3 linked regions of the Coturnix japonica genome follow. The protein of the gene in region 1 purifies or fractionates together with the protein of each later gene. This does not show direct contact. Links are inferred from orthologs where the notes say so. Each region holds a gene or a part of one and is shown on either strand. Other genes may lie near its edges.

Region 1 (3,500 bases):
TCAGCAGTGGGGTAATGAATTTTCTCTAGGAATGTGATTTCATCTGTGTGTGGTTTGTTTTTTTAACTGAGCAGCCTTACCTGACTTCCCAGCTCTTCTGAGATGAGGTCCAGAGGATGGCCACGTCCTCAGACATTTTTGTAGGAAAGCATTTGGAAATAGTCAAAATGCAGTATCTGAAAGATTTCTTGTGGGATGGTAATTGGTGATGGGCCAATTGCATCAGAACAGTAATTTGTGGAGCCCCCTCATTTTCCCCCAAACTGCTTCTAATTGTAAGGGCTTTTTTTGGTTTTCTCAAAAACCAAGGACCAGGAAGACAGTTTGGCAATGTTTGTGAAGCTTCTCTTTTCTGTGATAGAGCAGCATGTAGTGTTGGGTTTCTTGACATCTGTACTGAGCTAACAGCTTATGTAAGACAGATATTTACCTTTGTGCTAATCTTCACTGTCTTTAGATTGGTAATGGCTCCATGTTATTTAGTCCTTTACTTGAAAATACATAGAGGGTTTTAGACCACCTAGTAATTTTGAGGAATTTTTTGGAGATACAGAAGCTACTTTGATACACAAGCCTTTTAAACAATGTTTGCTTCTTTTTTTTTAGCTTACTGTCTTCAGTTGTTGTTTTGTTACATCCAAATTGATTAAAAAGTTGCTAATACTTGAAAATATGAGTAAGACTCCCTGGCTAGGAATGGTCCTTAGAGGAAGAGAGCTTTAGTGTTCCCGTGTGTGTGCTATGTGTTTGCTGCAGAAAATAATTCTTCATTTTCCAATCATTAGTTTAATATTTAGTCATCACGATGAGGTTCCTACTCATACTTTAGGGAAATCAAAAGATCAACTGAATGAACAGTCACTTGTTTCTAGTGTCTGTGTTTGATGGTGTTTTTGCTATTCATACAGGTATACAGATTTCTTTGCTGACGTTATTGCTGGATTACCTTGAGAACAGTGTTTTCCTGTGAAGAGATTAAATAGAGTTAAATTTGGAATTCTTCGTAACTACATAGAGATCAGTACATACAGCAACAACTTGTGTAATCAGCCTCTTTTTATTTGCCCAAATAAAATATTATGGAGGATTTTTTCACCAGTTGTCACTGAAGCATTTTTGTATTTGTTTGTATTAGTTAGCAATCGTCTTTGAGTCTTTTCCTTTTGAATGTATTCTTCTATAAGTGTATTTGTTCCCCTTTGCATACAGTTGATCCAGTCAGAGACGACTTAGCAACTTTTCAGAACTTTCTAAAGAAACCTTTTTTTTTCTTCTTTTGAAACAACGGCATATTTAAATCCTTCATATTTCATTATGCTGCAGCATAGTGGTTATTTTTAATACATCTACTCTTGTTTTTAGCAGCACTGGAATAGGAGTCTGAATGTGACCACTGGGGAAACTTTCTTAAGAGTTCTCAGTTAAATGTATTTACTGAAGTAGCATCCGGGCCTCCATCCCTTGTTCACTGAATTATTTGTGTCTTCTGTGCTGTATCTGATACATTGTCTGTAACACCTCAGTCTTGGAACTGTGTTGATTATTGTGTGACTTCTTACTGCATGTTCTGTAAAGATGGTTGATTCATCATTCAGGAAGGGAGCTTTCTGCTCTGGATGGTTGGACGTAGGTTTCTGCCACTTGCTCTTGGGAATGAATTAACCTATATCCAGCATGTGAAGTGTTTCTGTTTTGGTGTAGCTTCTCATCTGCTTAGTATACTTTACCATACCTCTTGAAAAAGGCGACTTGAATTTCTTACTCTCAAATCTCTGGAAGCCCTTTTTCAAAGTAAGAGGAAAAAGGACCTACTGAATATAAACTCGGTCCTGTGGTGTGCTCTATCTGAACAGCTTTGTTCATCCTGTATCTTTAACTGTATGCTGGCATGTTATTAAAACATGTTTTCCTGTGTTGGTTTTGGAGTGTTAGCTCTCATAACTTAGGTAATGTCTGCTAATGTAATAGACTGTAGGTACATGTATTTTTAGCATCAACATTATCTTTTGTATGGCTACAGAAATGAAAATGCTTCTCTTCCTCATCATTTCCTAAAAACAGCTCACTAGCAGAAGATGAAATAAACCTTTGGAAGTGGTGACTTATGTCCCCAGAAGGAAATATTCCTAATACACTAGATTGATATTGTCTTGAGATGCAGGATATGTTCTTCTAGCTCTACAGATTTAGCCTTTTTTAAACTTATAGAACAATATTCATAATTCTCTGAAAGTCTTCCACTTATTTATGATAAAGTCCTAGAAAGATGCTAGTAAATAAATTTTAAACAAATTGCTCAAGAAAGATGTGTTTTCTAATCTTGATGTGGATGTGAAGTTTGTTCATGTTTCCTGTGAAATACGTTAACTTCTGCAGAGGAGGAGAGAGGAAAAGCATTATTTATTGCATAATTTGTATGGAGAGCTGTTTAGCAGTTTGAAAGTATGTGCTTTCATCAGTGCTTGACATCAACACGTAGTTAGATTTCTTTCTTGTATAATTTCTATATTAAAATATTTCTAGAAGTTCTTACTACTGAACAGTTGCTTTGTTGTGGCACAAATATTGATGTCACTGAGGACTTCTGAATTTAAAACTAAACTTGTGATTTAAAAATATCCTAGTGATGTTGTACTGAGGACAGCAGGAGTGATGGAAAAGTGAAGATTTGTCGGCAGCAGCAGCCAGGACTCTTTGCTACTACTGACTATTAGGAAATTATATTAAGGAATTGTATCCTGACTGTTTTGTCATCAGTAATTGAAGGCTTCTTGAATATAAGTGTATGGCTTTTGTGGAGGATTAATATAGAAATCTCAGTTAAATTCCAGATTAATTTGCTGCTGATATTATATTCAAGTACGTAAAGAAATATTTAAGTGAACGAAGTAATTGACTGAAATACTGTGAAGTAACGTCTATTTAAATATTTTGTGTTCCAGATTTGTACTATGGTGGAGAAGCTTTCTCTGTAGAGCAGCCACAGTCTTTCACTTGTCCTTATTGTGGGAAAATGGGTCACACAGAAACAACTCTTCAAGAACACGTTACTTCTGAGCACGCGGAAACATCAACAGAAGTGGTAAGAAGCATCAGAACTCTTTAATTGTGGTGGAAATTCATTAAATAGAATATTCAGGAAAACGGGTGCAGTGTTTTTCTTGAAGCATGAGTTCTTTTAAATGCTTTAGAGGAAGTTGCACTTCAAGATAACATTTTTTGGGGGGGTGGGGGTTATTCTCAGATAATGAGCTTCCTTTTTACTTTTATGGTTGCTGCTTGGTTACTGTGATGTAAAGGTTGCTGCTTTTGGGAGCTTTAGCTGTAGAACAACATTTAAAGCATTCTTGTGACTGTGCTTCCTTTTTACAACCAGTGTGCAATTGCTAAATGAGTTTACGGTGTTGGGTAAGACCATAGTTATGGCAGTCTTTTGTTACTGTAATTACATTCTGTATGCAGCAGAAGCTGTAATTCTTCTGTGACTTGTTCTCAAGGGA
Region 2 (4,149 bases), on another chromosome or scaffold:
TTGGCAGGGGGGTTGGACTCGATGATCTCTAGAGGTCCCTTCCAACCCCTACAATTCTGTGATTCTGTGATCTTCCTCATGTTAGTACAGAACTCTTTGAGTTCCAGCTGCATTGCCCCTTGTTCTATTGCTGCTCACTACCAAAAAGAGTTTGCCCCATCAACATGACTCTCACACTTTAGGTATTTATAAACAGTTATGAGATCCCCTCTCAGCCTTCTCAGCTACCAAAACCAGGTCCAGCCTAACTACAATGCATTTCATCAATAGACATCGTTTCAGCTCCTAGATGTAATCTCTCTGGGATCAGCAATGGGGAACACTGTCTCTATCAAAAAGAGTACGTGAATTGTCTCAGCTGTTTCTTATTTCACAATGAGGAAGTCACGCTATTAGAAAATGCTGTTATGTAAGAGCAGAAAGTGGCTGATTTCTTTCACTTTCAAGTCAGAAGAGTCTGTGATTTTAGAAGTTAGAACCAATTGGAGTTAGATTTCAAACTCACAATGCACAAGAATAAAATACCTGGAGAACTCCTAGCCTCAAAAGAATCTTTTATGAGCCAATAAGAAGCACAGAATAAATCAGCCCATCAACCTTCCTTCCCCCCATAAGAAAACCCCACTCATACTTAAGATATCTCAGAGCTTGTGATGTAATTCTTTACTTATATATTACCATTGGTATTTTTTTCAGTGTAATGGCAAGCATGTTTAAAAAAGAGGCTTTAAGAATGTTTCACGTCATCTTAGCATCACAGAATGACTCACCCAGTAAGTCGGAAGGGACCCTAAGGATCATCTAGTTCCACCCCCCCCCCTGCTGTGGGCAGGGATGCATTCCGCCAAATGGGTTTCTCAGTGTTGCTGATGTCACTCTTGATGTAGCAGAAACTGATACTTCAGTTCCTGATGATTTCCAGAGGGCTTGGCTGGCTTATTTATTTACACTTCTGATGGGTATGAGTGTAAGCTTCCTGGTATCAATAGTGTAACTGGTATTAATACAAGCATATGAGGCATGTTCTCCACAGAGATAGAAGCCCAGTCTGGTGGCAGCCCAAAGGAAATGGTCCTGCTGGTTCCCCAGTATCCTTTTAATGGTGATATGACCCAACATTTTATTCAGTGTTGTGAAGCTCAGCTGGACACTCGCACTGATAACATGCTTTTAATTTGCACCCGATTGCCTCAGCTTTCTCCCCTGATGAAGGCTGCTTCTGTAAACACACAGCCATAGAACCACAGGAGGCTTTAGGTTGGAGGGATCTCACAGCCCCAACCCCAGCCGTGGTCAGGGCTCAGCTCAGCTCCCCACAGCCCCATCCCACCCGGCCTTTAGCGCCCGCCATCTCCTGCCTGTGGGCGGGAGCACCCAGCGGAAGGACCGCGCTGTCCCGCCGCGCCTCTATGGTGCTGGAGGACCGCGTGCCTGGGGCAGGCGCGTCTCGGCGGTGTGGACGTGGTGAGCACCATGCTGAGCGGGCGGTAAGGCTGGGCAAATCAACTCAGAAGGGGCCGTACCTTCCCCCCGTTACCCCGCAGTCTGCCGTGGCCCCTAACGGCAGGGCTGGGCGCGGTCACCGGCTGCGGTTGTGGTGTGGGAATGTGGGAGCGGGCTGCGGGCTCTGAGGGGAGACCTGAGGGCAGCTGGCCGGGCTGTGGGAGGGGGGCTTAGCCCTGAAGCTAATATGGAGCTAATATGGTCCTTATGGAGGGCTGCACCATCAGCACCGCTCTGATCGGTGTGTATGGGGGGCTGCGGAGATGCTCGGATTTCTCCACTGGTGCTTTGGGTTTTTGCTGCCCAGCCTCGGTGTAAGGTACTGGCAGCCCCTGTGCCCTGTGCTATCCGGAGGGCTTTTATTCCTTTATCTTTGTGCTGCGTTGCCACAGTCTTGTTTGCTGTGCTGCCTGTTTGAGCGCTGGGTGGATTGCAGGGTAGGTTATGTTCTGTGAGAGGTCTCATGGTTGTCACTTTCTGTTGAGCAGCTGAGGGATAATCCTGCTCTTTGGGCTTGTGAAGTGTTGTGCCCATACCAAACCATGAGCACAAAAACCAGGGTTAGCCGAGTGGCACTGAGTTGGAGGCTGTGTGATAGGTGCCTCAGGATAGTCCTTCTAACACTTCTGCACATTCCAGCCCCGTGCAAGCGAAGCATATATTTAGGGTCATGGCTGTCATACAGTCACAGAATGGCTTAGGTTGGAGGAGACCTCAGAACCCACCCAGCCCTAATCCCTGCTATGGGCAGGGCTGCCCCCCACCAGCTCAGCTGCCCAGGGCCCCATCCAACCTGGCCTTGAGCCTCCGGGGATGGGGCACCACAGCTTCTCTGGGCAGCTGTGCCAGTGCCTCACCAACCTCTCAGGGAAAAATTCCCCCTGACAACTAACTTAAATCTTCTCTCTTTTATTTAAAAATCGTTCCCCCATGTCCTATCACTATCTACCCACATAAAAAAATCGATTTCCCTCCTGCTTCTGAAAGTCACAGTCAGCATTCACCTCCAGTGAATCATCCTTCCTGTTTGCAGATGGTAGTGGCTGGCTTGAATTACTGTATGCATTGCATCTGGTTCTAAAAATTGTACTAAAAGCAAGGCGTGGAGGTTCTGAACTAATCAGTGCCATTCCAAAGTAAATCTTATATTATTCTCATAGCCTTCAAACTAATCACGCTGAATTTCCTCCATATAGGTTGTACACCATGCAGAAACTTCCTTCTCTTCTGGCTAGAACACTGGTATCTGGGACCAATGGCTCGCCATTGCTTCCAGACATGGCTGAAGGTAAAGTAGTTGCCTGTACTTTGAAAGATTTATAAACATTTCTCAGCAGCTCACTTTATTTATATGGTTTGTGTGCATTGTGGATGGGCACACCCTTGCCTCTTATGTTACAAATGTTTAGAAAGCATCAGAAAATGACTGCATGTTTTTGGAGGTTCGTGGCAACAAACATATGTAGGTGACTGAAGTTACAGGTGTCTGGATCTTTAGTCTTGGAAGAGCGAGCAGTTCTATTTGGAGGAATGACTCTAGCTAGAAAGTCAATGCAATAAAGCAAAGTGCTAAGGAACCCGAGTAAAATGGCCAAAAGACAGGAACTGAGTGGAAACAATGAGTCTTACAGAACAGAAGTTGTCAGTACTGCTAATTTTATGAAGTTAGAGAAACCTATTAATCTGATTAGCATGATTGCCTTGTGAAAATGCACTTTGTCAATAGAGCTTTGTGTGGAAAGATTGTTTTAACGCTCTGCTACTAATAAACCACAGCATTGCTGTTTCAGAAGCATTAAAAATGTTTCCTTGTGTTCTTATCCCATATACTGAGAAATAGGAAGGAGGAAGAGGACTGAAACTACATACAAACTATTCCTTTGTGGACTTCTGCCTGTTTCTGATTTACTCTCTGAATAGAAACCCTGGGTTATCCAGTTAAAGAGAAGATAAAGGTTTTTGGGTTGTTAGATGCCTTTTCTTCAGTATTTGTTAGAGAAATATTTGCTGAAATAAGTGGTCTGAAAAACTGTTTGGGATTACAATGCAAGCAGATATTACATGTAGCCAGTAGATAAAGGAATTATAAAGCTGGAAAGGAAGAGCTAAATCAACTGAAATCACAAAGGTATTGGCTATAAATCTTGGCCGTGAGCAAGGACAATTTGCGTACAGTTGCTTACTAAACTTCAGAGCTATCTAATTAAATGGAGTTTAAGCAGGTAAAGTAATTAAGTAAACCCCTTAATGGGTGTAATTTCCGTTGTTTTTTTTTTTCATTGTTAACCTAACCTGTGTTTTCCACTCCACAGGACAATTACCCATTCACGTGAATAATGGTGTGTTGTGGTAACCCGTATATATTTTAATATTTGCTAAAATGCTCAACTTCCTTAGCTACTGTTTTGCCTTACTTCAGCATCCTTGAAAAGTGAAGACCACTTCTTCTCCGCTGACTTGCTTAAAGCCCCCTTTGCCTTCTTTAAGGTTGTTGGACATGACGAGTGAGTGTCTCTGGTCATCTTTGTGACCAGACTGTTGTACTAGACCTGTGCTTGTTTCTGATCGCATGATGGATAACACAATGTTAACTGCCTTGTGGGATACAAAATCTCTTACGTAGCAGTTCCTGCACTACTTAGCTTT
Region 3 (3,970 bases), on another chromosome or scaffold:
TGAAAAGCTAATGGCTTTTGATGAAGCAGATGAAAAACTGAAAGCAAAACAAGTTTGCTGGCAAAATATCTTTGTTGTACTCCCATGTCTGTTAAGAAGGGGATGCATTCTTCCTTGTGTGATACACACAGGTGATATGGGTTGCTCTGCTAGCATGACATCGGTCAGTTTTGACTGGAATCAATGAAAGAAGGGACAGTTATCACAAGGTAACTGTTATCATCTGTGCAGATCACAGCTTATAATCCAACCATTTAAAAACACTATCAGAATAAATTCCTTTGGTATCTGTAATTATTATTTTTCCCTGACGTATCTTGATTTTACTTCTTAGCATAGTTATAAAGGTTTTCTAATCATGATTTTTGTATCCTGCATGATGCAATGAAGGCATTTCAATAAATGTTTTTAAAAACACACTTTTAAATGCTCGCTTGATTCTTGATGTGTTTCTGCTTGTCTTCTCATTATTTTATACGCTTGTGCAAGCAATGTTGTGTGGTCCCACAGCTTCCCATACATCCCAACTAACTGCCATCTTGCCACCTTGCTTTATGATGTATAGGCACACTTTCACATTCCTAAAACATCATCCAGTCTTTCACTCTCTATGGCTAATTATCTAGAGCCCGACTGAAACAGAAAACCATTACCTTGATGTTAGAACCGCTGTTCCAACTCCCTTCTGAGAGATAAAATTCAAATTCAGTCTGTGATTTTAATTAAATAAATGAATGTATGAGTGAAGGACTAAAAGGATGTGACAAATGAGAAGGTTTATTATTCAAACATCTTATTTCCAGAGCTATCAGTCTATCAACTACCAACTGATGCACCTGTAGCCGGGTGCTGCTGTCCCTGCTGCCTGCAGAGAGTCCTGCACAGACTGGGAACTAAAGAACTAAAGAACGCTTTTCTTTAGTTTGGTTCCCATGCTTTCGTTTGATATTCTGGAATCCAACAGAACCAGTGATGCTCCTGAAGCCGTTTGAATCACACCCCTTTCTACAGCATTAAGTGCTTTATCTGTAAGGGAAAGGTTTGATGTAGAGATGGTGTCTGGATGCAGGACTGGGGCGTACGCTGAGTTTGAGGGCAAAACTAAACAGACAGGAGCTGTTTGCTCCCTCACAGATGAGAGGTCTCGATGGGCAGCCCTGAGGTACGTACAGCACCCGCTCACCACAGCAGCCCATGGAGCGCATGCGGAGGCGCATGCGTGTGGAGGCGGACATGGCGGCGTCTTTGGGGCTGCGGCGGTGCAGTGGCTGCACCTCAGTCCCGCTTTTGGGGTTGCCGCTGCTCAGTGCGGCCCTGGGGCTCCCGGGTAAGGAGGGGCCCCGGGTGGGAATGGAGCCGCTCCGCTGCCTGAGGAAACGCGAGGAGGAGGGGGCGGGTGTGTTGGTGCGGGGTCTCACTCTTTGGGCACTGCTGCCGCTGGGGTAGAGCGGCTGGAAAGCTGCCAGGGGTAAAAGGGGCGGGGGGTGTTACCTGAGAGCGGAGTGTGCGACGTACAATCCTCTAATCTTAAAGATTAAGAGGGTTAGAGTCTTATCAGAAGTCTTGTCCAAGCTTTCAGTTTAACACGTTATCTTGCTGAGAGGGATAATAGAGTGGATTAATTCCTTGTAACGCCTCTCTACAAACCACTTATCTTCATCCACAGTAGAGGTACAGCTGGCTGCTGAGTTCAGCAGATCTTTGCCTCTTTAGGAGATGCATGAGAAATGTATATTTCCACAACAGTCAACTCTTTCTCCATATGATTTGTATTTAATACTTTTTTTTTTTTTTTTTTTTTGTATTTACAGAAAACACAGCTTGATTTTTTAACCTCCTGTGTTTTGTGTCTAAGTGCTGTTAAGATGAAACAGTGCTGAGGATCTTGACTCAGAGCTTATCACCCTAATTTTCAGTGTTACTGACAGTAGTCAGCATGTGACTGATGTTACTGCTAAGCACCTTCAAATCATTACATTACAGTATTGAAGAATGTAGAAGACACTTCTGTTTTTCTTTTCTCCTGAGCCTAAGTACTGTAATTTCACATAACATACATATATTTCCTGAATTCTCATTTTATAAAATGCTATTATTTCTGCCAGAGCTGTCTTAGTGGTGGTACTTCATACCTCTCTTTATTAGTTTGCAGGTGGAAGTCGTCAGTCAGCTTTCTTACTCGACCTGATCGACCAAATCTAGCCTACCGTAAGCTGAAAGGCAGGAATCCAGGGGTTATTTTCCTTCCAGGCTTCCAGTCAAATATGAATGGTCAGAAAGCAATTGCCCTTGAAGATTTCTGCAGCTGTCAAGGTCATGCCTTCGTCAGGTACATTGTTCTTGAGAATATGAAATAGGTATCATATGTTGAGTTGGGTGTTTGATTTGTAGTGCATGCTGTTCTGTACACAAGCTCTGTTTAATTTGTGTTCAGCAATACTGCTGAGTTTTATTTTCTGTGTTGTTGTAGGTAGTACCACAACTTTTGATGATTGGTTTTTCAGATTTGATTATACAGGATGTGGAAGTTCACAGGGGAACTTTGAGGAGTGTACAATTGGGAAGTGGAGGAAAGATGTTCTTTCTGTACTGGATGAACTTACAGATGGACCACAGGTTGTATTTCATCCTTAAATATAAAACATGTTTTTTTTCCTGAAGGTGGAATATTGTGTAATCAAAAATACACTGCAGTAGATCCTGTCTAGAATAGCTTCTGTTTAACGGCTTGCACCTTCTAGCTGTCAAGCAGGCCTGTTTGAAATGACATTATTTGTAGGGCTTCTTTTGCAAACAGGTTTATCACAACTTTGTGAAGGTGTGGGTTGGCAGGAGATGCTTCAGTAGAGCAGAGCTGTCACTGGCACTGAGTTACATGAGCCCTGACCCGGTCCCAAGAGGTTTGGGAAAGGCTTGTGGAGGAGGTTCCACCTAGTAAGGGACAAGCCTCCTGCCTGGGAGGTGGTGGAGTTGCCATCCCTGGCAGTGTTCAAGAAGTGTCTGGATAAGGAGCTAGGAGATATGGTTTAAGGGTTTTCTGTAGGTATGGTGAAGGGAGGTCAGTTGGACTAGATGATCTTATAGGTCCTTTCCAACCTTGTGATTCTATGATGATTCTATGATGATGCTGATTATAAGGAGCTGTTCAGTGCTTTGCAGTTCTCCTCTTGGAAGAGTGAGGCTTTGTCCCACTGCTGATCCATTAATTGAAGGATTTGCAGGAACGTTGGAAGTTAAGATGCTCTATATAATAAAATAGCTTAACAAAAACGAGCCAAAACAGTGATTGGCTTCTTCATTTACTTTTGAAATGACTGTGAGAAAGTCAGTCTGCATCCCGGAAAAGCCTAGTATTGTATTTGAAAAACATTTTATATTCTCAGTTGCTTTTGTTGACCTGCCGCTGCACAGAGCCTTTTGATGGGCCTTTAAGAAAAGTATGGAAGCAATACTGAATTGTTTCAACTCTCATTTTGTTTGCAGTGTTTCAGTCTCAGAGATCAATAGCCATCCGTGTCAAACAAAAAGAGTAATAACATTCCAGATTCTGCAGTGCTTACTCAGGCAAAATTTCCACTGGAGGTGACAACAGTTCTGCCTGGGTAAGGACAGCAGGATTATGTCCAAGGTTTAAGTACTTAAATGAGATGAAAGCCGACGCTTTGTAAATAGAAAATAAAAGCTGTTTCCTATAAAGTAACATCTGTTTTCTTCTCTTTTAAGATTCTGGTGGGCTCCAGCTTGGGAGGATGGCTGATGCTCCATGCTGCGATAGCACGCCCAGATAAAGTAGCTGCTCTAGTTGGAGTAGCTGTAGCAGCAGACCATCTCGTAACAGCCTTTAGGAGGCTTTCCATTGAGGTAAAGCTGATGGTTGTCTGTTGTGCAAGCAAAACATTTGGCAAGGTAAACGCTTGAAAAAAGTTCTTTTGTTCAAGCTGTACTTTCCCTTCAAGATTTCCGATATTTC

The links. Proteins that work in one complex are often made in the same cells at the same time.
Region 2: the proteins of KCMF1 (region 1) and ACOT9 purify together in Homo sapiens (affinity purification with mass spectrometry; 3 studies listed by BioGRID and IntAct, with this or other methods). This does not show direct contact. The link is inferred for Coturnix japonica from reciprocal best matches to the Homo sapiens genes KCMF1 and ACOT9.
Region 3: the proteins of KCMF1 (region 1) and ABHD10 purify together in Homo sapiens (affinity purification with mass spectrometry; 3 studies listed by BioGRID and IntAct, counting the BioPlex papers as one, with this or other methods). This does not show direct contact. The link is inferred for Coturnix japonica from reciprocal best matches to the Homo sapiens genes KCMF1 and ABHD10.

Annotation. Positions count from the first base shown.
Region 1 is NC_029547.1:47,688,734-47,692,233, reverse strand, and holds part of KCMF1 (E3 ubiquitin-protein ligase KCMF1), read left to right. Parts: intron 1-2,942; coding exon 2,943-3,082; intron 3,083-3,500. UniProt on the Homo sapiens protein: E3 ubiquitin-protein ligase which accepts ubiquitin from an E2 ubiquitin-conjugating enzyme and then transfers it to targeted substrates, promoting their degradation by the proteasome.
Region 2 is NC_029516.1:107,410,922-107,415,070, reverse strand, and holds the start of ACOT9 (acyl-coenzyme A thioesterase 9, mitochondrial), read left to right. Parts: upstream 1-1,349; 5' UTR 1,350-1,473; coding exon 1,474-1,487; intron 1,488-2,699; coding exon 2,700-2,791; intron 2,792-3,815; coding exon 3,816-3,842; intron 3,843-4,149. UniProt on the Homo sapiens protein: Mitochondrial acyl-CoA thioesterase. Catalyzes the hydrolysis of acyl-CoAs into free fatty acids and coenzyme A (CoA), regulating their respective intracellular levels. Regulates both mitochondrial lipid and amino acid metabolism.
Region 3 is NC_029516.1:79,418,018-79,421,987, forward strand, and holds the start of ABHD10 (mycophenolic acid acyl-glucuronide esterase, mitochondrial), read left to right. Parts: upstream 1-1,170; 5' UTR 1,171-1,194; coding exon 1,195-1,327; intron 1,328-2,145; coding exon 2,146-2,329; intron 2,330-2,504; coding exon 2,505-2,616; intron 2,617-3,723; coding exon 3,724-3,861; intron 3,862-3,970. UniProt on the Homo sapiens protein: Acts as an acyl-protein thioesterase that hydrolyzes fatty acids from acylated residues in proteins.